Linked DNA regions of Oryctolagus cuniculus. The protein of the gene in region 6 interacts with the protein of the main gene of each other region in a pairwise test. Links are inferred from orthologs where the notes say so. Each region holds a gene or a part of one and is shown on either strand. Other genes may lie near its edges. The genes, in order: POLR1C, PHF1, CASP9, DDX6, UBE2K and BIRC7.

Region 1 (4,083 bases), on a different chromosome or scaffold from region 6:
GAGAAGCACTGGCTCAGCTCCTCAGCCGCTTCCCCTTCTATGGGTGCAAGCAGGGTAATGTCTGGCAGGAGCCTGTAACTGGCTGTCGCCACTGGTGAGAACTTGGCGTGGTCCTTGCCTGCAGGGAAGGGAGAGATCAGCCTGGGGGAATCCTCTCCCGAGCCACTGAGCGCGAAAGCCCAAGCCCACCGCCTTCTGCCGGTCAGGAGCATCCCTGGATTCCTGCGGCGACTAAGCTACGCCCTGCACCTGAGGCGGCCCACGGGTCTCACCGATGCCCTTGACACAGTGCATGAGCAGGTCAATCTCTTGGCCAGGTCGCAGCTGGGCAATGAGGATATCATCGTGCACCGGCCGGATAGTGCCCTCAGGGAAGAGGTCAGCCTGGTTCCCCAGGGGAACCCACGTCATGTGCCTGGTGTACACTGGAGGGAAGACAAGTCAGAGGGCTGTAGCCCCGAGACGCCCCCACAGCCAGCAGCCAGGCCTCCCTCCTTGCCCACTAACCTTTGTGATTCACATAGAGCTCGTTGGGGTCAGAGGAATCTTTAGCAGCGTGGGGGTTCCGAGTGCACCTGACCTGCAGCCGAAACTGCAGAGTGTCTATCTCTGTGCCCTCGTCGTCCCCTGCACAAAGGGAAGAGGCGGCCCTTACAGCAGCAGTGAGCATCAGGGTAGACACTGCCGAGTGCTACCCGTGTGCTGCTCCTCTCGTCCACAGATGATGAGTCACTTGCCCAGGGCCACAAGAGTCAACCCAGGATTCGAACCCAGGCAGCTGGTCCCAGGATCTACTAAGGAAGAAAGCGGTTCCACTTCCCCCAACAGCTTCATCTCCCAGGCCCTCACCTTGGTTCCGATATTCAAACAGTCGTGGATCAGCATGAATGGGAATGAGCCCCAGGCGGTGAGCCAGGATCTCATCCTGCACGATGGATGTGTTGTTGTACACCAGTACCTTCTCCACAGCCATTGTGGGCACCTACCCAGAGACCAGGATTACCCGTCTATAAAAACCCGGCAGACTCCCCACCTCCTGAGATGGACAACTCCTAGAAGAATGCCTCATAAAAACTTAAAGCAAAACACTCCACAAAATCGGGGGGGGGGGGGGGGGGCAACTTGAGACACTGACAGATGAGGTGATGGCACACTTCCCCACGCTCCAGCCGTCACCGGCCCCGCTGATACCTCCGCCAGCAGAATTCGCCGGAAAGCATTGGCAATGGCCGCATCAATTCCCACCATGTCAAACTCCAGCGAGTTTTCATCCATGTGTACCACATCCACGCGGAAGTTCTAGAGGCAAAGGAAAAACAAGTGGATGGAGCCTGCTCTTGGTGTGACCTGGCTACAGCTCCCCCTTGACACGGAACATCCCCGCTCCCCCAGAAGCCTTCCTCTGCCCAGCAAAGCCTCATTTGATGTTTTCTTCCTCTGTTCTTTTAGTTTCTTGAACAATGCCCCCAGTTTTGTATGCCACTAGTTGAAAATCCTATGCAATATGGCTTGAGCCAGAAGCTATTCTATGAAGAGCAGAAACTTCTATACAGTTTAGTCCAGCTGACAGGACTCAGTTCTTTTCTTACTAATGTTACATTTGGCATTGAATTAAAAAAAAAAAAAAAAAAAAAAAAAAAAACTCCTTTCTCAAACCCCATCTCCTCCGTGTCTGGGCACCAGTCCTCCATCTGAGGAGTTGCGTCTCCTTCCACCCACCACCTAGGTGTTACCGGTCCCCAGCTTCTTGTCTCTCTCCAAAGTGACATCAACCACACTCACGGTTTTAGCAACTACTATGGACAACTCCCCACATTCTGTCGAACGCTCTCCTGGGCTGCTAGCTCCTCCACACCGCGGGGAACCGAATGGGTCATCGTTCCCACTGCCCAGGCACCGCCAGCCGTCAGATGAGTTCCCACAGCCAGAAAGTCCTGACCGCTCTCACCAAAGCACTCCTGGGCTCCTTCCCCCAGCACTGCCTAGCGATCTGCCCGCCCCTTCTCCTCCTTCTCAACCACCAAAGCTGCAAACCGGATCACCTGGTCACGCCTGCTCAAGAACCCCCAGTGCCCGCCGTCAGGCCAGTGTAACATTCTATCAATAATGCGCGGTTCGGACATTCTAGGGACACGCCCACCCCGTCTTTACAAGTTAGCTCGCTTACTCCTCCCTCCTCGACCTTCACTCACCGTTCAGGGCTCAAACTCAGATGTCACTTCCTTCAGGGAATCCTATGATTCTGCCCCAGTCTAGACCGTCTCTGAGGGGTGCCCCACCCCCACTCTCAGCCGCCGTCACCGCATCCAACTAGAATGACCTGTACAGGCCTGAACAGCTCGATCGCAGAACAAGGCAGAAGCCCGGTGTGCAAGGAGCGCCCAGGACACGGTCGGATGCTGAGCAAACTTGGTTTTGCCACGTGAGTGACCCCTGGGAGCAGCTCGGAAGCCCGGGCTGCTCCGATCACACTCCGGCCCCACGCACCTTCTCGAAGCGGTCCTGATCCCAGGCATCATCATAACCGGAATAGTTCCCGGGGAAGTCGGTGGTATGAACCTAGAGATACGGGTCCGTCCGTGAAGAGGCAGCGAAGCCAAGCCCGCCCTCACTTTGATCCCGACCCGTCCCTCTCATACTTCCTTCTGAACTCAAGGCCACAAGGCTTACATTCCGAACTCCGAACTCCCCTAAAACCACGCGGCTCCGCATTTCTTCAACGGCCTGAGCCGCCGCCATCTTCGACTTCCCCCACGAGACTAAGGCCTCACGCCTGCGCGTGCGTTCTAGCGGCTTTCCTCCGTCGCCGTGGCAACGCACCGCCTCCCGGAGCCCGACGTATCGCGAGACTTTGCCCCGCCTCCGTCCACGTCCCCAACTTCCGGAAGTCTGTCTGGGCCAAACATCCGGGTTTCTCTTTTTTGCGTTCCGGCTGGTGGCGCCTGTCCTCGGCCCTGGACGTCTCCGTGCCTCAGGCCCACGTCTGCCCCCTCTTCCTCCGCGCGCGGGGCTAGCGCTGGCTTCGGGGACGGGAGCCCTCCAGGGACATGGCAGCCACCGCGGCGCCGGCCGGCGGCGCTCGAAACGGGGCCGGCCCGGAATGGGGCGGGTTCGAAGAAAACATCCAGGTAATGGCCCCAGCGCTTCGGCTGCCGGCCACCCCGACGTGTCTGGGGAAGCCTCCCTCGGGGCCCGAAAGCTTCCTCCATTTGCAACACTCCTCTCCCCTTTGGGTCTTCGTGCACGGGAAAGTCAGTGAAGCTAGTGCCGGCCGGAGGGCCTCGGGTCTCTGGACGCGCCTGAGGCGTTAGGAAGAGAGACAGAAGAGGAGGTCAATCGGGGTCAAGCGGGGCAGTGGGCGGGATTCGCTGGCACTCGCCAGAAACATCTTGTGTGCATGGTCTTGCTTGCGCCTTGCAAACCCTCGGGGCCTTTGATGGGGAAGGTGGGGAAAAGGCATGAGCGGAAGACAAGTAGGTGGCTTCTCGGGCTAGAGGAGAGCGCCGGAACCAGCAGCCAGGGGGTTCTGAGAGAAAGTGAGGGGTGACAGTGGCCTGATGTGCGGGGATTCGGAGGCGCGGCGCCAGCAGCGGGGCAGGGACCAGAAAGGCCTGCACTGTAGGAGGCATTGCCTTCACAGGGTGGGGGCTCTGCCGTGATTGACATGGAGAACATGGATGACACCTCGGGCTCCAGCTTCGAGGACATGGGTGAGCTGCACCAGCGCCTGCGCGAGGAAGAAGTGGACGCCGACGCGGCCGCTGCGGAAGAGGAGGATGGGGAGTTCCTGGGCATGAAGGGCTTTAAGGGGCAGCTGAGCCGGCAGGTGGCTGACCAGGTAAGCGGGGCTGAATCCTTGGCAAGTGCAGGATACCTGCGCGATCTGGAGTCGTGTGGGTGACCTTGACCTCAGGCTGCCCCAGTTGGAGCCCAGTAGAACCCCGACAGAAGCTAGGGAGCAGGACCCCAGGGCCAGGAGCCTCACGGGCCATCCCCGCATCTCCGCTCAGATGTGGCAGGCCGGGAAGAGACAAGCTTCCAGAGCCTTCAGTTTGTATGCCAACATCGACATCCTGAGACCCT
Region 2 (4,201 bases), on a different chromosome or scaffold from region 6:
CACGTCCACCCTGGAGAAACACGGAGTTGTCAAGGCCACAAGAAGCATTTCAAAAGCCAGGGGATTGAGATGGGCGGCTGGGGTATGTAGGGTGCAACGCGGAGGGTGCTGGGAAGGAAGCTACACTGAGGTCAGGCTCAGTCCACCTTACCAGCGAAGCTGTAGCCGTCGGACTTTCTCAGGGCCTCCCCGACACACACAGCATTCAAATTCATAGAACCTGGATGTGGGCAAGAGAAAGAGGACGTGTCACCTTGTGGAAAACCATGCCATGGAGGGCTCAGAAGCAAGGAGGGTGGACAGACGAGGAAATGCAGAGTGTGGAGCACAGGGCGGGGCAGCTTGGCCCCCTGAGGATCCGCCACGCCCTCACCTGTCCCCGTAGAGGAGGGGCTTGCTCAGACACTGGGTGCAGGCCTCATGGAACCACTGCAGGCAGCTCCGGCACTGCAGCATTTTCAGGTTCCACCTGAGGGAAACGGGACGAGTCGCCTCAGACACCCTCTTCCCCCTAACTGCCCCAAACCCTGCTCGGCACCTACCTCCCATCCCCCGTCCTCCCCTCACCCTGTTCTAACTCCTGCACCCCCTGGGATCTGCCACCTCTCATTACTCACTCCCCAGGGCCGCCACAGTAGCAGTAGCTCTGCTGTCGGTTGCTCAGATGTCCGGCGTCCCAGTCCAGCCCCTTCAGTCCGTACGGCAGAGACAGCTTCATACCCAGCATGGCCCTGGCATAGGGGCCCTTCTTCAGTGCCCCTCCCCTCTGCAGAGATACAGCAGGCGGGAGGCCTCAGAGGTGGGCGGGACAGGCTCAGGAGAGGCGCAGTAGGAGGGTGCCTTTACCTTGGTGGCGATCGCAAAGATGCACTGGCGGCAGACCCAGGATGTGCCCTCTCCTTCTCCAGGGGCTGGGGCCCGGGGAACGTGGCAGTCCTGGTGATAAGCTGAATAATGATAATGTTGATAGTAGACCACTTATTTATTGCATGCCCATGTGTGCTTGGTATTGGGGTAGGAACAGTTTTACCCATTTTATTTAATCCTTGACCACGGTTCTGCCAGCGTGAAAGTATTATCTTTATTTTACAAGTGAGAGAACAGGAGGTTAAGGGACTTGCCTGAAGTCACATGGTTAGAGAGAGATGTCTTTGAATCACCTCTGCTTGCTAAACTTATACCACCTTCATTCCATGGCTGCCTCTCCCTGTGCTGAAAGGGGGCAAGATTTCAGTCTTGAGGAGACTGGCCAGAGCAGTGGCGTGGGGACTTGGGCCAGAAGAAGCGACGTGACACAGGAGCAGTGCTGGAGGGGCAGGCTAGACACAGGCTGGCAGGCCCAGGGCAAGCTCTCCCACAGGTATCCTGCCTCTTACCGTGGCGACACTTCTCACAGCTGACCAGGCGGTTCCCAGGGACCACGGTCTCAGATCGACAGACACAACAGAGGAGTTCCTCCCCAGGGAGGGCGGCTGTGGGGGAACCCTGTGTCAGGAGGCCTGCCCTCGAGGCCCTCTGTACCCCCCCATGCCAGGTTTCTGTTTGCCATAGGCTGCAGGCTGAGGTTTCTGGGGTCTCACCAGGGCTAATGTCTTTCCACAGAACCAGAAACTGGGAATCATCCTCAAACTGGACCAGACACACTTCCCGAGCACTGTCCACCTGGGGTGGGTGAACACAGGATGAAAAGGGAGCCAGACTTAGATAAGGGGAACGGGACGGTGAGAGGTCAGAGGAAGGGCTTACCTTCTTGATGGTGCCCAGGTATAGCAGCCCATCAGTCCATCTGGCCAGCACATCTTGACCCTCCCACAGCCGAGGCCTGGGGCCTGAGGTGGGGGCCGGGGACGCCGGGTCCCAAAGTGAGGGAGCACTAGAGCGGCTCAGCCGGGGGGGCTGCGCCATCGCATCCTGGGGGGGCCTGGCCAGAAATGAGGCGGGAAGGAGATGGTGAGGAATGCTGAGGAAGCGTGCCCATTTTCTTTGCCTAGTTTTCTGTCAGGGATCAGTCTCTGCACGCCTGGTCTCCAAACCCTGGGACACTAGGACGGGAAGCCACTCAGTGTCCGGACTCCCAACTCTTCCAACTCTGGTGGCCACTTCTCCTGGCCACCCTCCCCAAAACCGAGCGCTCTCCTGGGATAGCACAGCCCGGTCTTAAGATTTGAGGAGAAATGATGGCTGGAGAAGCAGAGATTGCTACTCAGCTTCACCCTCCCCTCTGCTTAGACATATCGCCACCGCGGTACTGTTGCCCAGGCATGTGTTTAGGGAGCGTTTCTGGAGGTGTTTTCCAGAGTAGAAACAGCTGTCCCCCGGCCTGCTGGTCTCACACAGAACAATCATCCGGTGCCCGGTTATGTCAGGTCACCCTCAAATTCGGGGCTTCCTGCCCCTGGGTTAGGTAACTTCCCCGAGTGCTCTGGGAGGGGGGCGTGTCCCAGTCCCGCTCTCTCCTCCCCACCACGGCAAGTCCGAGAAGGCACTGGAGTCGGCCCAGCCCGACCCGAGGCCAGAGCGGCAAGGCTCTCCCGCCCGCGCCCTGCGCGCCGACCCCCGGGCTCCCTGTCCCCCCCCCACCAGCGCCTCCTGCCCGCCTCCTTACCGGTGACAGCTGGGGCCGCCGGGAGCCAGGCAGGGGCAGACGTCTGAGACCCAGGTGAGCCCCCCGCGCGGGGAGGGCACGTCCGGGCGCCCGGGGGCGTGCAGGCGGAGGCCGGGGGGTCCCCAGGCCCAGCCCCTCCGTCCCGGCGGCTCTGGGGCGTATGACGCAGCAGCCAAAGCAGCGGCAGCGGCAGGAGGAGGCGGCGGGGGGAGGGAGGGAAGGAGGGAGGGGAGGGACGGACCGGCTGGGAGGGGAGGACTTGGGGAAGGAGGAGCCGAAGGGGGGGCGGGCACCACCTCACCCCACCTCCCTCACCTCCAGCGGCCTGGAGGGCGCGAGCGAGCGGCTGCCCCTCAGCGGTTCGGGGCGCGAATAGTCGAGCCGGCAAGGAGAGGGAATCCCCGCGGCCCCTTCCCCGGATGGCAGGCTCGCCTTTGGGGCCAGAGGGAATCCCCCTCCCGGCGGCCTGCCTCGAGACTGGCCCCCCGCCCCATGCTACATCCGTTAGCTGCCCCACCCCCCGTGGTCACTCCAAGTCCCGCCCCCGGGCCCCAGTTCGCGGCCCCGCCCTCCATTCACCCTTCCCGTTGCCCTCGCCCCGCCCTCCTCCCGCCGATGCCCCGGCCCCGCCCTCCCCGTGGCCCGCGGGCCCCCCGCCCTCCCGCCGCGGCTCTGCGCACGCGTGGCCCCTCCCGCGCACGGCACCTGGGAAGGCCGAGCCCCTCCCCTGCCGGGCGGCGGCCGACATCGGGGAGCGCGAGGGGTCGGCGCGGATGCGCACCCTCCCGCTTGCGGGGCGGGCGCCGGGACGCAGAGGGCTAGTACCCGGGGCGGTGACGCCGCCGAGAGCCAGCCAATGGGCAGCAGGAGGGCAGCGCCCCGGCGGTTCGAACGCGAAGGCAGGAAAGGGCGGGAGGACAGCGCCTGCAGTTGGTGGGAGCGCGCGCCGCACCGCCGCAGGGCCCGGGTGCCCGTCGTAGGGGAGCTCCATCAGTGGCTGTGCTGGACAACCAGGCGGCACCCTTCAAGGAAGTGGCGACGGGGGAGGGCGCGTAGGGAGTCAGATGATCCCGAGCAGGTGAGGAAAGCCCGAGGCCGGCGTTTGGCTTAGCGGTTAAGACGCAACTTGGGGGCCAGCGGGTGCAAGATCTGCCCCTCTAACTTCATTTCAAGTAATTTAAGAAAAAAAAGACACAGCTCGGGTTGCGACCCCCATCCCACGTTCGGTTGCCCCAGCTTGGCTTCCAACTCCAGGTGCTGTTGTGCACCCTAGGTCCCTGCCCCCCACATGGGTGGGATACCCAGGTTGAGTTCTGGGCTCCTGGTTCAGCATTGTCTGTGGCGGGCATGTGGGGAGTGAACTAGCTTTCCAGGTCTCCTTTCAGAAAAGAAAAGTTTAAAGAGAGAAACCTAATCCCTAATTCCTAGCCCACAAACACATGGCTGGATAGGCACCTCCACAGCTCCTGTCTTAACGGATATGAAAAATATTTTCCTCTTTGGGCAAATGCTAATAAAATCTTTATTTAAAAAAAAAAAACTATTCTTTATTTGATAAGTCGGGTACATAGATAGCTTCCTCCACCCCGTAAAGCA
Region 3 (4,298 bases), on a different chromosome or scaffold from region 6:
CCCTTTGCCATTCCAAAGGAAACACACTAGCCCCTATCACTGCTGGACCAGAGGCAGGCCACACGTACTGTGGACCACTCAGAGGTCCACACAGGAGCGGGTCATGCACTGCTCACCCCCAACTTTAAAAAAAAATTATTCATTTGTTTGAAAGGCAGAGAGAGACAGAGACAGACACACAGATTGTCTTCCATCTGCTGGGTCACTCCTCAAGTTCCCGCAATAGCTGGGGTTGGGCTAGGCAAAAGCCAGGAGCCAGGCGCTCCGTGCAAGTCTCCCACGTGGGTGGCAGGAGCCTCACTTGCCGCAGGCCCAGGCGCATTAGCAGGGAGCTGGATCGGAGGCGGGGCACTGGGGCTGCCCCCTGACATGAGCTGCAAGAGTCGGCGGCTGTACCACAAGGCCGGGCCCTCAGCCCTCGGGAAGGAAGGAAGCAGCAGGGGCCCACCTGCCTGCCCTGAGAATGGCAGTAAACCTTCCTTCTCCCTCCACTGCCGGTCAGCGACTGGCCCCGAGGGCGCTGGGCAAGCGAGCGGTCTTGGGGCGATCTACAGCAATTCCTCCTACTAGTTTTGGGGATATTCTACAGTCTCTGTAAAAGCCGTCTTCATCGATTCTGGTGAAAGACCCGGAAATCCGTGTCACGGTCCAAAAGCAGTTAGCGGTCCTCAGGATGCGGCCACGGGGCGGGCTCTAGGGCGGGACGAAGGCACGGAGGCGGACCATAGGGCGTGGCGAAGGCGCAGGGGCGGACTATAGGGGTGTGGCGAGGGCTCAGGGGCGGTCCTGGGGGGAGTGGCGAGGGTGCGGAGGCGGACCGTGGGGGCGTGGCCAGGACAAAGGGGCGGGCCTTTGGGGCGTGGCCAAGGCTCGGGGCGGACTATGGGGTCGTGGCGAGCGCGCGGAGGCGGAGCTTGGGGGCGTGGCGAGGGCTCAGGGGCGGTCCTGGGGGTGTGTGGCGAGGGCGCGGAGTGGATCCTTAGGGGGGGTTGCATCGAGAGTACGGAGGCGGGCCGTGTGGGCGTGGCGAGGGCGCGGAGGCAGAGAACGGGGGCGTGACGAGCCGCGGAGGCGGGACATGGGGGCGTGGCCAAAGCGCAGGGGCTGACTATGGGGGTGTGGACTATGGGGTCGTGGCGAGGGCGCGGAGTGGGTCCTTGGTGGGGATGCTGCGAGGGTAGGGAGGCGGAGCATAGTGGCATGGCGAGGGTGCGGAGGCAGACTATGGGGCGTGGCGAGGGCACGGAGGCGGACCGTGGGGGCGTGGCCAAGGCGCAGGGGCGGGCTATGGGGCGTGGCGAGGGCGCAGGGGTGGTCGGGGTGGGGGGGTGTAGCGAGGCTCTGAGACGGACCAGGAGGGGTGTGGCGAGGGCGCGGAGTGGTTCCTTGGGGGCGTGGCGAGGAGGAGAGGGCGGACTATGGGGGCGTGGACTATGAGGTCGTGGCGAGGGCGCAGAGGCGGGGGCGAGTAGGCGGGGAGGCGGCTGGGGTGGGGGAGGGACGTGGAGGCGGGAGCGAGGGGTGATGAGGAGTTGGGACGCAACGCGGAGGCGGGTCCTAGGTCGGGGGCGGATCCGGGGTCCCGGGTCTTAGGGCGGTGCTGGGGAGCGGGCCCGGAAGCGGACGGAGCCCCGGGTCCGCGTCTCCTGCCGGCCATGGACGAGGCCGACCGCCAGCTCCTGCGGCGCAGCCGGTTGCGGCTGGTGAAAGAGCTGCAGGTGGCCGAGCTGTGGGACGCGCTGGTCAGCTGCGAGCTCTTCACGGCCGACATGATCGAGGCCATCCAGGTGCGCCCCTCCCTCGCCGCCCCTGACTTCCGCGGGGCTCAGTGGCAGCTCCCGCGCTCGCTTCCCCAAGTACCCCCACTTTGGGGTGCCCTGTGAGCGGGACCCCGCGCACCTCTTGGCTGGGTGCGGGTTACAGCGGCTGCAGGCTCTGGTGTTTCCCTTCTGCAGCACCCTGGTCCCGGGCACCCACCCTGGGGTCGGGCTGCCCGTCAGGGTATCCTTGGGCAAGTCACTTAGCGTCTTTGAGCCCCAGTGCTCTGGGCAGTGATGCTGACCCAAGGACCAAGTGAGACGGTGGATGTGGAAGAGCCTAGAGCCAGGCCCAGAGGGCCCTGTCCACTCTGGCGGGTCCCTAAGGGGCTTTTGGAAGTCAGGAGACCTGATGCGGATAACAGAGAGAAAGGATACATTTGAGGCTGTTCGTGGCTGACCCTCGCCTGGGGCCGGTGAGAGTGTGGGGGTGCAGTGGGTGTGAGTGACTGGCTGCAGGCCTCTGGCCCGGGTTCTGGGCCCAGCAGGCCCAGCCTCGGTGTGGGCACCCTCTCCCTCCCTTTCCTCCTTTCCAGCCTGGGGACTGGCTGCACATTTGCAAAGTGGAAAAAATGCTGCTGCTTCATTTTTCCAGCTGCTAATTAACAATGGCTAAGTGACAGGGAGGCGACCACACAGGAGATCACAGACAGGACAGGACCTTTCAGAGGCTCCGTCGTTAACCTGCAAGGGGAGGGAGAGCCTGTGGGGGACCCCCCGGCACCCACCTTTCTCCCGTGGCCCCTCCATAGTAAGCGCAGTGTGTCCTTGCCCTCCACGCCCAGTTCCTGTGTATCGACTGTCCAGCCCGGGCCCTCCCTCGCCTGGCCACAGCCTGAACTCACGGCCCCTCCCACCCTCTGGGGAACTGTTGTGTGTGTTTGCCTCCTCCCAGACCATGGCCTTGCCCCGGAACGAGTCTGTGATAGACTGTGGCCAGCTGTAAGTGAGTCTCGGGAGCACCTGCTGTGGGGCCTGGACAGGGAGTAGAGATGGCTGGAGGTGACAGTTCCTGCTTCAGACACGTTCAGGGGGACTACAAGCTCAGATGCCCATGGAGGCCTGGGTGGGCGCCATGGTGGGCAGCATCTGTCCTGCCACCCGTCTCCAGCTGCGTGTGCTCAGGCCAGCATGCAGGCCCAGTGTTACTAGGTTTCTTAGGTATTTATTTATTCGTGTTTCTTTTTTTTTAATATTTTATTTATTCGAAAGGTAGAGTTACAGACAGTGAGAGGGAGAGACAGAGAGAGAGGTCTTCTGTCCATTGGTTCACTCCCCAAATGGCTGCAACAGCCAGAGCTGCGCTGGTCCGAAGCCAAGAGCTGGGAGCTTCTTCTGGGTCTCCCACGCAGGTGCAGAGGCCCAAGGACTTGGGCCAACTTCTACTGCTTTCCCAGGCCACAATAGAGAGCTGGGTTGGAAGAGGAGCAGCCGGGACTAGAACCGGCGCCCATATGGGGTGCTGGTGCCGCAGGCAGAGGATTGACCAAGTGAGCCACGGCGCCAGCCCCTATTTATTCATGTTCCTAAAAGATTTATTTACTTTTTTGAAAGGCAGAGTTACCGAGGCAGAGAGAGAGAGAGATTGATTTCATCTGTTGGTTCACTCCCCAGATTTCTTCTGGAGCTGGATTGGAAGTGGAGCAGGCGGGACTAGAACCGGCGCCCATATGGGATGCCGGCACTGCAGGCAGTGGCTTTACCTGCCCCCTATTTATTCATTTTTTAAAGATTTATTTATCTGAGAGGTGGATGACAGAGAGGTGGAGGCAGAGAGAGGTCTTCAATTTGCTGGTTCACTCCCCAAATGGCCACAACGGCCTGAGTTGGGCCGATCCGAAGCAAGGAGTCAGGAGCTTCCTCCAGGTCTCCCACACACATGCGGGCATCTTCTACTGCTTTCCCAGGCCACAGCAGAGAGCTGGATCAGAAGTGGAGCAGCCGGGACTGGAACCTGCGCCTGTATGGGGGGGGGGTACTAGCACTGCAGGTGGTGGCCCCTGTTTATTAATTTTTAAAAAGATTTATTTATTAATTTGAAAGGCAGAGTCACACACACACACAGAGAGAGAGAGAGAGAGAGAGGAGGAGGGAGAGAGCTTCCATCTGCCGGTTCACCCCCTAAATGGCCAAGGCTGGGCCAGACTGAAGCCAGGCTCCTGGAACTCCATCCGGGTCCCCCACATGGTAGCAGGGCCCCAGACTGCTCTTCCTGGGAGACTTGTCTCCTCAGTGGTGTGGTGGGTCTGTGCTGTTCAGTGTCATAGTTATTGGCCACTTGCAACTGTTGGAAATGTAAGTGTTCAGTACTTAAAAATTAAATAAAATTGGGGTCCGCGTTGTGGCGTAGCCGGTAAAGCCACCACCTGCGACAGCAGCATCCCATGTGGGTGCTGGTTGGAGTCTTGACTGTTCCACTTCTTCTTCCTCTTCTTTTTTTTAAAGGTTTATTTTGTTTGTTTGAAAGACAGAGTTGCAGAG
Region 4 (4,264 bases), on a different chromosome or scaffold from region 6:
ACCAGGGATGGGAGCTCTTTGTGTCTGCCTCTCAAATAAATACATAAAATTTTTTAAAAAGAAAATGGCCGCTGTCTCTTGGAAAACTCTGATGACAACAGGTGGCCTCACTGGAGCTGGCACATCCTCCAGAAACCGTATTTGCTACAGAGTACTCACAATTATTCCACTCCATGTTAACTAAAAGACCAAAGGATTTGATTTATATTACATTCTTCTTAAAAAATAATTTTTCAAACCAACAAATTATCATAATTTAAGAGTCCAGTGTGACATTTTCAATACATATGTACATATGTACAACATGTAATGATCAGGCATACCTATCACCTCAGACTCACATACTTTTCTTGTGCTAGGAACATTCAAAATCCTCTTCAAATTCTGTTTCTAGCATACCATCTCCCAGATTTTAAAATACCTCGTCACACAGAAGGGGGGAACTCTGTTCCTCGTGTTCACCCTAGAGAGAAAGCAGCTAGGTGGCTATTTTGAAATATTCAATTAATTCTTGCCAATCAGAGTTATCCTGCCCAACTGCACCCCTGGACCCATTAGCTATCCTCTCTCCAACCCCCTAAAAATACATTTTATAAATGATAGTCTGTGCAGCCCCAAATAATCTTTTTTCCTAAAGTGTCATATTTCACAATTCTTGCTAATCTGTTTGAAAACAGCAAGGACAAAATGGTTTGAAATGGTTTGACCTATCAACCACTAAAGCTGAATCTAGAATAAAAGATCCAGGGTTCCTAGCTTAATTTTAAACCATCTACGTATCCCATCAGAAAACTGAAAAGGGCCAACAATGTGAGAGTATTTACCCATCTTAAAAGATCATTATACAGAATTTCGAAAGGTTTTCGCCTCAGAAGGACTCCTAGGTGAGATGGGTGGTCATTTCATATTGCCCATTTTTGTCGTGACCTCATCCAGGCTACAGTTTATTTGTGGACCCTTTCCTTGAGCAGTGTGGGGGAAGGGACCTGGTGTAAATCCTGAAGCCCCTTTCCCAACCCTTCACACACCTGATACGTGGGAAGAGAGTGAGGCAAAGAGGATCTCACACGGTATCACCCAGCCGTCTTCTCTACAGGATGGAATAGGGTGCAGGGTTTCTCTCTTCACGACTAGGTGTTTTAAAATCTGGGTGGGAGATGGCATGCTCTAAACCTAGAATTTAAAAAAAAAATAAGGGGACTTTTTTTTTAACGTCAAGGGTAGTCTTTTCACTGCTCTCGACAGCCTTTCCAGACCGCCAAACGAGACCAGGCTTTGCGTTCAGAGCGTGCCGTAGGATCCGCAGCCACGACCCCTCGGAGTGGTGGGGACCAGGCAGGCGGGGGAGTAGGAAAGCTTCATGGTGAAAAACGGGGAAGGCGTCAGGTCGGCCGCGATTGGCGCGTGCTGGCACCGGGAAGCGGGAGGAGGGCGAGCGAGAAGCAGGGCCTCGGACGTGATTGGTTGCGGCGGCATATTTGGCTTTCTCTGATTGGCTCCGAGTTGGGGACAGCGGCACAGCGGCAAAAAAACATGGAAGCTGCCAGTCAGTGAGCAAGTGCTGACCGTTCTGGGCTCGCTGCTGCGGAGGTGGGTCGGAGTCCTATTGTCACATACGCTTTGGCCATTGTCCGTTTGTATATTCCGCTTCCCAGCCGGGTGCGACCTAGGATTTTACTTTCCCTCGGCCTAGCCAAATTTTTTTTTTCTTACTTGAGACACCACAGCATTTCTGTTATTCTGTTGGGGATAAACGGAGACGCTAGGGTCTGAGAAGTAATCATGAGGAGAAATGCCTAAAAATCTTTACAAGTGAGGGGCGGGCGGGAGAAAAAACTCTCCGCCTGCGGGCGCCCAGATCTTTACCGACTGCCCGGCTTCCACCGAGACGACTCAGTGCTGTTCCCCTCTGGGGGGAGGCTCGGCCCCTCCCTGGAGGATCTCGGCAGTAGAGGGGGGTCGCGCCGCCCAGCCCTGCGCCCTAACGGCGGGGTCGCCTCCCAGACCCCGCGTGCTCTCCGCAGCTCCCCCTCCCAGGCGCACGGTCTCCGCCCGGCGCGGTCCCTACACCCCCCCTGCCCGCCCTCCGCGCGCCCCGGGGCCCTCCCCACCGCGGGTCCCAGGCCGCCCCCCTCCCGCCCCCGGGCGCGCGTCGGCGGGCGCGTGGGGGCCTCTGGTTCCGCGCGCTCCCGGGCGGAGACGCGGCGCGAGGGGCTCGGACGCGGCCCCCGGCCCGCGGGGGTGCCAGGTCAGCCTCCCGCCTCCGGCCCGGCAGTGCTGGGGACCGGTCTTGGGGCAGTAACAAGCAGATCCGCCTCTGGTCACAACCCCGGGTTTTCACGCAGGAGGCGTGAAGGCCGGCGACTCTCCTCAGCCACCATTCCCCGAGCATCTCTCCTCGGCCTTCCTGTCCCCTCAGACAGCAGCCGGGCTTCCCCCTGCAGCTTTCCACCCGTCGGTGTGAGAGAACGGCCCGCTTTTTTTTTTTTTTTCCTTCCCCCCTCCTCAGGGAGCTTCTCCGGCCGGGCTTCCCCTCGCCGTCAAGAAGGGAAGAAGGGAAGCCAGGCGGCCGCGACAGCCGAGCTCTCGCCATCTTGAGTGGAGGAGGAGCCGCGGCCGCCGCCATGCGGAGAGGCAGGGAAAGAGGGAGGGAGGGAGGCGGCGGCGGGCGGGCGAGGGAGGGGGCAGACAGCCGAGTTAGCTCAGCTCGGCGGCGACTTCGGCGGCGCCGAGAGAGCGGGCAGCGGCGGAGGTAGGCTGGGCGGCCCGGCAGCCGGCGGCGCGGGCTGCCGGCGGCGCGGCCCCGGGAGTGCGGCGGGGGCGGGGGCGGGGGCGGCCACAGCGAGGGGCCGGGTGGGGGCGGGCGGAGGTTTCCGAGGAGGAAGGAGCCGCCGCCATTTTGGGAGCTTCGAGTCAACAATAAAGGACCGAGGGTGCCGAGCGGGAGTGGCCTCGGTGGTAGGACTCGGGCCAGAGCCGCGGGGCGCGGGGGTGAGGCGGCGGGGTCGAGGTCGGCGGTGCCGTGGGGGCTTCAGGGAGCCCCTCGGGCCGGCGAGGGGTTCGCTCCGGGCGGAGGCCCAAGGCCTGGCCGGGCCTGGGGGAGGAAGGGCGGGCGGCAGCTGTGTGGGGTGGGGGCGCCTCAGAGGAGTCGAATATGGGAATGCAGTGCGCGGCGGGGTCAGGAGGAGGAGCGGGCCGAGTGCTCCGAGGAGTTTTGTGGAAGACGAGGGGCTGTGGGGACCCGAGGGGGCGGTAAGGGCTGGGGGGGAGATGATGTTGGAGGTTATGGGGTACGAGGCAGCCCTACAGGGGGCGGCACGGATCTGCCGTGTTGGAGGGCTCCGGCTGGAGGAGGACCGGCTGCTGCCTGATTGCAGTAGGCCTTGTAGGTCGATAAACAGAGGGTGTTGGTGGAGCCCCCGGGTCGCGGAGGGAAGGAGGGGCGTCCTAGGTTGTAGGGGTCTCTTCGGGCCCTTTATTGGAGCAGTCCCTATTGTTTGCTGCCGCGGAGCTGAGTTTTGGCCCTTGTTGCGCAGATAGGATTGCGGGGACCCAACCGTTTTGTTTTTGTGGTCTGAAGGAGCTGACTCGAAGTGTGAGACTGGGGGGAGGCAGGGGAAGAAATGAGTGCCATACAGTTGCGGGGCTCCCGACACTGGCTTGACTCCTTTTCCGCGATCCCCCGCTCCCTCTCTTCGGAATAAAACCCAGTCACTCCAACTTGCAGCCAGAGCTTGGAGAAACTGCGCTGCATTTGCAAACAAAAGCTCTCGTTGGAGATGACGGTACTGTTTTGGGTGTGAAACTGTCAATTGCTAACTACGATCTGGGAAGTGCTGTAATTAATTCCACCAGGGGCTCCTCCCAGATAGTCTACGTTTTGTCTTTTTTTTTTTTTTTTTTTCTTAACGTAGAACTATAACCTGCACATCTAAATTGGGAAGGGGTAGGAGGAATATTTCCTCTCTGAGACATAAAGCTGCAGTGCAGGTTTCAGTTTAAGAGGGGAGCAGTTAGCACATAGTCTTATTTTGGATTTAGGGAGATGCGCGGTGATGGGCAGTAATGAAGATACGGTTTCGTTTTTAAGAGATTGCCTTGTTCATCCTCCTAATGTTTTGCAAACAAATAAGTCTCCCTATATGAACTATGTGATACGGTTGATCATAATCTAAAGCTGTCAATACGGGAAAGGTTCATAACCTCCTCTAAGTGCTCTGATTCAGGAAGACTTTAAAAATAAACAGCTCTGTGTATGTGAGAA
Region 5 (3,049 bases), on a different chromosome or scaffold from region 6:
TGAAAATATTTCAAACCTACAACCTAAAAGTGGGGTAAGGGGCCCTGTTGCTCAGCACACTTCCCCATCAAATAGAGGAATTTCCGTCAGCACGCTAGCTGTGAGTGATAAGAGGGAAAACAGACGTGGTGTCCCAGTTTGAGGACAGGGACAAAAGGCTCTGAACAGGTCACCATCTTCAAATCTGGATGACTCTTGTATCTAAGAATTCTCCAATGTGTAAAACGGTGGTCTTTTCAGCTACCCATCCTAAGAAGTCAAGTACAAGCATGCAAATAAATGCACAGGCACAGAGGGTCCATGTTGAACACAGTTACGGCAGCTGTGATGCAACACCGACACACTCAAAATAGAATCTTAATTATTCAACAAAATCCTGAAGCGAACTCTTGCTAGTCTTGGTACACCACTAAATACTAAAGTAGCAAGTTTTTTCATGGTTTTAGCTTAGCTCAAAGAATTTTTACACTATTAAGGAAAAAAAATTAAAGTATTTCCCCTTTTTTAAATTTACACAGACGTTTAATCAGCTTTATTTACAGAGCAGGGATTTTTTTTTCAGTCTCCAATGGTGCCTAGATAACATCATTAGGCAAGAATGCCAGTTTAAAAGAAATCTATGCAGAATCCTAAAAATAGCGATGCCGGAGCTCCCGGAGAGGAGGCCGCCTGACTGGGCTGCAGCTCGCCAGGCCTCAGTTACTCAGGAGCAGCTCCGTTGCCGTCTCTACATCCCATGATTTTGAAGACAAGGCCACAATTACCGCGTTCTGTGGAGACAAAGGGACAAAACAAACTCTCAAGACAATGTTTTTAAATTGTTTTGAATTGCTGTCTTTATATTGACATATCAAACATTTCTTTCTTCCCTTTCAGTAAGTACTTGTAGCACATAAAAAGCTTCCCAAATCAGTAAGCGGAATCAATAAAAGGAAAACAAAAATCATTGGCTATAGTAACAGAACATTTACCAAAACTGCATTTTCTGGTGTTTTTTTATTTGTTTGTTTTGGACAGACAGAGGGGACAGAGAGAGAGAGAGAGAGAGAGAGAGACAGAGAGAAAGGTCTTCCTTTGATGTTGGTTCACCCTCCAATGGCCACCGCGGCCAGCGCACCGTGCTGATCCAAAGCCAGGAGCCAGGTGCTTCTCCTGGTCTCCCATGGGATGCAGGGCCCAAGCACTTGGGCCATCCTCCACTGCACTCCCTGGCCACAGCAGAGAGCTGGCCCAGAAGAGGGGCAACCGGGAAAGAATCCAGCGCCCCAACCGGGACTAGAACCCGGTGTGCCGGCGCTGGCCCTGGTGTTTTTTAAAAGGTAGAGTTAATTACACAGAGAGATCTTCCATGTGCTGGTTCACTTCCCAAATGGCTGCAGCTGGGCTTATCTGAAGAAAGAAGCCAGGCGCTTCTTCCGGATCTCCCACATGGGTGGCAGGGGCCCAAGCACTTCAGTCATCCTCTGCTGCTTTCCCAGGTGCATCAGCAGGGAACTGGATCTGAAGTGGAGCACCCTTGACTTGAACCGGTGCCCATACATGCCAGAGCCACAGGCAGGTAGCTTTACCTGCTACACCACAGCGCCGGCCCACAAAACTGCATTTTCTAAACTACTTGTCAGCCAAGGATTTATAGAGATAATTTTAAATCAGTGTATCAAAATCAAAACACCGTTAGGTACTTACCCTATCAAAGCCCATAGCACATAGGTTTTCTATTTTTTTGGTGTATTCTGGACTAGACACTGGTGCTCCAGCATACACATGCGCCCACAGCCGAGCTGTCTGTTTGAACATTTCAGGATTTTGTTTGTACTGCAAGGGGGAAAAGTTGACTAAAATGACAATACGGTCATAGCATACAATACTGTAACTCAGTTCTCAACTGCCTACAACCCTGCTTGTAACAAATAAAATTTATATTTAAAATGTGGTTTCACTTCCCATCATAAACTATGTTACTCATGAAAAGACTGTTTAACCTGAAGTTTTAAATTCAAAGTTGTACTGACGAAAGAAAAGTAAAGCTAATCTACTTTAAAAATTTAACAAATTAGCAAAAAATTAACTATCAGAAATGTTACACAGTACAACAAACACTATACAACTATACACAGAATTAGTAGCTTATAAAATTAAAATCAGATTTTGCTCCTGTCCCAGAGTTATATTAATGTATGTGATTTAAGGAAACCTCACATGCAAAGTCCTAATGTATAATACACACTTTGGAATAATTGCAAACTCAAGAGTACTTTCAGAAGTTAAGACTTTTCACAGGCAATGGAAATACATTTATTCTCAAAATATTCTAGAACCCTCATTTCTTAGTAAAGCAAAGTATAAATGAACACCAACCATTTCATTTAGTCAAACATTTATCTTTAAGGTATTTTATAGATTTTGAATATGTTAATACTGAAAAGCTTCTACTGCTTATTAAAAGCGTAAATGCAATTTCTATCATTAATTCCTAACAATTAAGTAAGTCAAATTATTGGACAATTTTAGGAACTAAGGTAATCCTTGTAGTATAAACTTTAGCCTGTGGGCTTAGAATTCAATAGGAAATCAAAGCTAGAATTCAGAAAACAGAAAGCTATAATTACCAGCAATCTGTTGACAACTCATTGAACATACTAAGAAGGGGGTATACATAAAACAAGGAGTGAACAGATCTTCAAGAGAAAGGAAAAGTTTCTAGAAGAGATAATTTGTAAATTAAAATCTTAAAGGATAAAGAAATTCAGTTTCCTCAGAGAGGAAACATGGCAGAGTGGATAAAATGATTAAGTAAAAATTAATGCAAACTTGAAAAAGCGTGCTTTGAAAAACAAGAATTCAGAAGATGAAGCTTAGTGTGCTGACACTGCAAATCATGTAGGAACTGCCACTGAAAGAAGAAGAGGAGAAACAGAGGAACTAACATGGAACCACCTTGAAGACAGGAACACAAGAGGGCAGTGTATTAGAAAAGGAAAAACAACGAACACTCAGTAAACCGTAAGGGCTGACATTCCCCTCCCCCAGGCACCCGTTATTTTAAACT
Region 6 (4,239 bases):
GCGAGGCGCCGGCTGTGGCGCTGACCATCAGGGGCTGTGGATCCCCAAGTTCCAGCTTTCCAAGAACTGGGGTTCAGACAGCGGGCGAGGCAGACAGAGCAGCTGGGGGCCTGGGGGCTCCCTCCAGAAGGGGCTGGGGGTGGTGGTTTCTGCTTCCCACCTAGTGCGCTCTGAGGCTTTTTAAAACTATGTGCCTGCCTGACTTCGGAATAAACAAAAGCTGAACCCTTTCCACGCTGCGACACTGGAGAATTCCACAGCTGTGGAGCGACAAGACCCCCGTCCGCCAGGGAGGTCTGCACAGGAGCCTCACTCTGCCCACAGCGCAAGGAGCGGCATTTCCCTGGCAGGGAGCACCAGCTGCCCCCGATGTCCAGTGGGCCTCCTCAGTGCTGGGGGCCTTCCTGCCCCCAGCCAACAGGGCCAGCCCAGGCGGGGGCTGTGCACCACAGCAAGCTCCACCCCCTGACCTCCTCCCTGGCGGCCCACAGCCCTGCCTGCCTCCCCGTGCCCCGGACAGTGAGGGCCCCGCCCATGCGTGCACTATGCAGGTGGCCACACGCCCCAGATGTCCACAGCCGCACTCCAGTCCCAGAAGGGCCAGGGGCTCTGCAGGGTGGGGAGCCCACCCCTCCAGCCACCACCATCAGCTCCTCTCTGAGGCCACAGCTCCAAGCCATCAGCCACAGCGGCAGGGGGCCGAGTGCCCTGGTTCCTGAAGGCTCTGTGGAACTGAGCCAGGGCCACCTGGGGGCTCCGTGGTCTGACCCTGCTCCTGCCGCAGGAGTGGGGCTGGGGGTGAGCCTACTGCCCACGCCCACCCCACGGCGGCCAGACCGTGGCTCTCTGCAGTCAGACCATCAGCAGAGGCGTCCCCCGGGCGCGGCTCTGGGCTCAGCCTCTCAGCACCGTCCCTTCATTCAGTCCCTCGGTTCCCTGCCAACCAGCAGAGGGCAGGCCTGATTCTCGCGTCCGCCGGGTCAGCATTCCGGCTGCAGAGAGGTGGGCAGCAGCCTGGAGGGGGGCGGTGGCGAGCAGGGGCTATCGACCCCACCCGCCCCTTTCCTGGCCAGTGGAGGCCTCTCCTGGCCACACTGCCCGCTGAGCCCCGGTCAGCACCGCAGTACAGACCTGACCCCCACCCTCGCAGTGTGCTGGGGAGCCCCCCACCAAGTTCATGTCCTCCTGAGACCCCTGAGGCAACCCCATTCAGAAACAGGGTCTCTGCAGATGGCACAGCAGTGGGAGGAGGTTGCCCCGGACTCAGGTGGGCGCTGAACCCAGCGACAGAGACGCCAGTGAGGCACAGCCGGGAAGCCAAGGGCGGCCACTGCAGGCCAGGAGCCCCACACAGAGCGCGGCACTGCCCGCGCCTGATTCCAGTCCCGGGACCCTGAGCTCAGACCCCGCCTCGGCCGGGAGGAAGTGAGGTCCCCGTGTTCTGTGGCCCTGGTCCCAGGGCCCTGGCTGCCTCAGCCCTGGAAACGAAGGCACCCGCAGCCCACACCCGCCCGAGACCCCAGCGGCCAGTGTGGCCTCCTGCAGCTGCCTGGGCATGCGTGCAGGTGCCAAGTGACAGCCGGTGTGTGGGGGCCATGGCCTGGCGCCGGAGGCTGCGTGCACCACTCAACCCTGCGAGGGGGGGAAAGGTGGTCCCGGGGGCCGAGAACCTCGGAGTGGCTGTGTGGAGACCCGGGGGCCGAGGACATGAGTGGCTGCGTGGAGACCTCGGGGCCGAGGACATGAGTGGCTGCGTGGCCCCACGCCCCACCAGGGGCCACTGCCCCGTCCGCCAGAGGGAGGTGAGCTGGGGAGGCAGGGGGAGGGGCTCTGACCATGGACACTCCTGGGCCCAGAGATGGCTGCCCTGCCGTCCTAGACCCTGGGAGCAGGTGTGCAGCCCCCTCTCCCCATGTTCTGGGCTCAGCCACAGACAGGCGGAAAGGCTACCCTGCCCCTCAGCACCCTGCTGGCCACCGTGAGCCCCGTGTCCTCCTGTGCCCACCACCAGCCTGGACACGCCTCACTCGTCTTTGGACGCAGCCCAGATAAAAGCACTGTCTCCCCACGGCCAGGTGCATCCAAGCCTCAACCGTCTGCACCCAACCTGGGCGCCAGCCGTCCCTCCCGGCTCGGTGCTGCAGCGAACATGCCCGCCTGTCCAGCGCTGGGCCAGCGCTGGAGACTGGAGCCGAGGCCGGGAGCCGTGGTGCGGGCCTCCCCTGAAGTGGTGAGATGTTGTCAGGGCCCGGCTGAGCCGGAAGCCCAGGCTGCCCTATCTCAGGGGCACAGGGACTGCCCGGCCCTCACTGCGGCTTAGCGCCTCTGCTTGGCCTCTCTGGGGTCATTCCTGCCCCTCGTGCCGGCCCAGCATTCCCTGCGGCAGGACAGGACTGATTCGGGCCACATGCGTTCATGGCACCTGCCAGGGCCGAAAGAGAACAGCCACCTGGACGCCATGGTGGGGCGTGGCCGCGGTGGGGCCGAGGGGACACCTCCGGGAGTGACCGGGAGGGGCTACGGGCAGGGGCCTCCGCGGGGCTGGCGAATGAGAACGGGGCCGGGAAGGGGCGGCCTGGCTTGAAGCCCGCTCCCCAGCCCCGCGCACCTGTAAATGCGGCGTTTCTCCTTCGGACCCCGGGATGACCCCAAGGCCCATAAAGATGGACGTGCCCAGGGCTCCCGCTGCCGTCGCCGCCAAGCGAACCGCACAGGAGCAGGTGCACAGCGGGCGCCGCCGGGTCCCAGCCCGGCCCCACCGCCCTGCGGGGCGCGCCCCACGTGACTTCTCGGGCTCCGCCCCCGCCTCCGCGACCTCGCCCCGCCCCCGTCGCGCGAGACTGAGACCCGGGAGAGAAATCCGTCCCGCAAGGCGGGGAGGCGCAGGCGCGTGCGTGCCGGCCGGGCGTCATTCCCGGCGTGCCTCGCGCGCGCTTACGACGCGCAGCCTCGTCCCTGCCGCCGCCGCCGCCGCTACCGCTGCTGCCGCTGCCGCTGCCGCTGCTGCCGCCATTGGAGTTGGCGCCCCCTCTGTGCGCCCCCCGCCCGGCTGCCGCCGCCGCCCCGCGAGCCAGCACCGCCGCCGGCGCCCGGGAACTTGGCGTCGGGGGCCGCGCGCGGCGGGGACAGGCCCGGCCTCGCGGGAGGCCCGAGCCGGCGGCGTTCATGAAGCATGTCGGCCACCAGCGTGGATCCCCAGGTAGGGCCGGGCCGGTGTCGCGGGGCCGGAGCCTGGAGGCCGGGCTAGGGCTGGGCCGGGAGCCGGGGCCGTGCTGCCGGGACCTGGGGGCCGGGCGGGTCCTGCCGTGGGTAACCGAGTGTTCCCTCCGGCCGCGTCCGCTGCAGGGAACAAAAGGACAAGACGCTAACGGTGAGCGCGGCCCCGGCGCCCGGAGCCGGCGGGGAGGGGGCGGCTTCCCGAGAAGCCGGGGAGCGCCCGCCGCCCCGGCTGCCGAGCCCGGGGCGGACCGCTGCCGGGCGCCGTGCGTGTGGCTCGGGTGTAGCCGGATCCGGCTGCGGCGCGCCTGGGCTGTCCGGAGCTGCCGGCCGCCCTGCGCCGCCTCCGCCGAGCTCCAGACCGAAGCGTCGCTTCCGGGAAGTGCCTTGAGTCGGGAGCCGGGCGGTGACCCTGTGGCTTCCTGTTCCAGCGCACAGTGGTTCTTTGCAGCCGAAGGAGACGGTGCCCGACGCCGACTTCGAGCCCTACCTTCCCGGCCAGTCGAGTCAGGTGAGCCTGCCGCGCCCCCGCCCTGGCTCTGCGTCCCCAGGCCCTCCCTGGAGCGCGGAGCCTCCCCTGGCGCCCCGGGCAGCTGGCCGGGCCGGGCCGGGCCGGGGTTCGTGCATCGGTGTTTGGTGTCTTTTTCTTTCTCGAGAGAGAGTGGGAGCCGGTGAGCCCCCTGCACCGGGTCACTTCCCAGCCATGGCCGGGCCAGGGCTCCATCCCCGCCCCTGTGTGGGTGTCGGAGACCCAAGGACATCGGAGCGGTCACCTGCTGCCTGTCGGTGTGGGCAGCAGGAAGCTGGAGCCGGGACTCGGGTGTGACGGGGGAGGCAGGGAGGCCTGTGAGCCTGCCTGACGGGGGAGGCAGGGGGCCTGTGAGCCTGCCTGACGGGGGAGGCGGGGGGCCTGTGAGCCTGCCTGACGGGGGAGGCAGGGGGCCTGTGAGCCTGTCTGACGGCGGAGGCGGTGCTGCTTGCTGTGCTGAGTCCGGCACCGCAGTCCAGGGGAGCGGCCGAGCG

What was found.
Region 1: the proteins of BIRC7 (region 6) and POLR1C interact in binary tests that used the Homo sapiens proteins (3 or more experiments, as listed by UniProt). The two-hybrid records come from large-scale screens. The link is inferred for Oryctolagus cuniculus from reciprocal best matches to the Homo sapiens genes BIRC7 and POLR1C.
Region 2: the proteins of BIRC7 (region 6) and PHF1 interact in binary tests that used the Homo sapiens proteins (3 or more experiments, as listed by UniProt). The two-hybrid records come from large-scale screens. The link is inferred for Oryctolagus cuniculus from reciprocal best matches to the Homo sapiens genes BIRC7 and PHF1.
Region 3: the proteins of BIRC7 (region 6) and CASP9 interact in binary tests that used the Homo sapiens proteins (3 or more experiments, as listed by UniProt). The two-hybrid records come from large-scale screens. The link is inferred for Oryctolagus cuniculus from reciprocal best matches to the Homo sapiens genes BIRC7 and CASP9.
Region 4: the proteins of BIRC7 (region 6) and DDX6 interact in a two-hybrid assay, tested with the Homo sapiens proteins (3 studies listed by BioGRID and IntAct). The two-hybrid records come from large-scale screens. The link is inferred for Oryctolagus cuniculus from reciprocal best matches to the Homo sapiens genes BIRC7 and DDX6.
Region 5: the proteins of BIRC7 (region 6) and UBE2K interact in binary tests that used the Homo sapiens proteins (3 or more experiments, as listed by UniProt). The link is inferred for Oryctolagus cuniculus from reciprocal best matches to the Homo sapiens genes BIRC7 and UBE2K.

The regions. Positions count from the first base shown.
Region 1 is NC_091436.1:126,548,517-126,552,599, forward strand, and holds the start of POLR1C (DNA-directed RNA polymerases I and III subunit RPAC1), read right to left. Parts: upstream 2,801-4,083; 5' UTR 2,740-2,800; coding exon 2,671-2,739; exon of another isoform or gene 2,640-2,670; intron 2,560-2,639; coding exon 2,488-2,559; intron 2,191-2,487; exon of another isoform or gene 2,124-2,190; coding exon of another isoform or gene 2,043-2,123; intron 1,300-2,042; coding exon 1,192-1,299; intron 983-1,191; coding exon 850-982; intron 628-849; coding exon 508-627; intron 426-507; coding exon 273-425; intron 119-272; coding exon 1-118. Other genes in the region: protein YIPF3, read left to right, coding at 3,048-3,128, 3,641-3,838, 4,011-4,083. UniProt on the Homo sapiens protein: DNA-dependent RNA polymerase catalyzes the transcription of DNA into RNA using the four ribonucleoside triphosphates as substrates.
Region 2 is NC_091436.1:135,735,585-135,739,785, forward strand, and holds the start of PHF1 (PHD finger protein 1), read right to left. Parts: upstream 2,801-4,201; 5' UTR 2,606-2,800; intron 1,922-2,605; 5' UTR 1,906-1,921; coding exon 1,747-1,905; intron 1,663-1,746; coding exon 1,581-1,662; intron 1,473-1,580; coding exon 1,377-1,472; intron 1,213-1,376; coding exon of another isoform or gene 1,122-1,212; intron 948-1,121; coding exon 847-947; intron 767-846; coding exon 618-766; intron 470-617; coding exon 374-469; intron 221-373; coding exon 152-220; intron 11-151; coding exon 1-10. UniProt on the Homo sapiens protein: Polycomb group (PcG) that specifically binds histone H3 trimethylated at 'Lys-36' (H3K36me3) and recruits the PRC2 complex. Involved in DNA damage response and is recruited at double-strand breaks (DSBs).
Region 3 is NC_091438.1:154,078,765-154,083,062, forward strand, and holds the start of CASP9 (caspase-9), read left to right. Parts: upstream 1-1,498; 5' UTR 1,499-1,655; coding exon 1,656-1,787; intron 1,788-4,298. UniProt on the Homo sapiens protein: Involved in the activation cascade of caspases responsible for apoptosis execution. Binding of caspase-9 to Apaf-1 leads to activation of the protease which then cleaves and activates effector caspases caspase-3 (CASP3) or caspase-7 (CASP7).
Region 4 is NC_091432.1:111,456,271-111,460,534, forward strand, and holds the start of DDX6 (probable ATP-dependent RNA helicase DDX6), read left to right. Parts: upstream 1-1,464; 5' UTR 1,465-1,590; intron 1,591-2,162; exon of another isoform or gene 2,163-2,634; intron 2,635-2,653; exon of another isoform or gene 2,654-2,752; intron 2,753-2,830; exon of another isoform or gene 2,831-3,252; intron 3,253-4,264.
Region 5 is NC_091433.1:33,605,609-33,608,657, reverse strand, and holds the end of UBE2K (ubiquitin-conjugating enzyme E2 K), read right to left. Parts: intron 1,816-3,049; coding exon 1,687-1,815; intron 771-1,686; coding exon 696-770; 3' UTR 501-695; downstream 1-500. UniProt on the Homo sapiens protein: Accepts ubiquitin from the E1 complex and catalyzes its covalent attachment to other proteins. In vitro, in the presence or in the absence of BRCA1-BARD1 E3 ubiquitin-protein ligase complex, catalyzes the synthesis of 'Lys-48'-linked polyubiquitin chains.
Region 6 is NC_091442.1:589,206-593,444, forward strand, and holds the start of BIRC7 (baculoviral IAP repeat-containing protein 7), read right to left. Parts: upstream 2,801-4,239; 5' UTR 2,609-2,800; intron 1-2,608. Other genes in the region: YTHDF1 (YTH domain-containing family protein 1), read left to right, coding at 3,166-3,199, 3,648-3,727.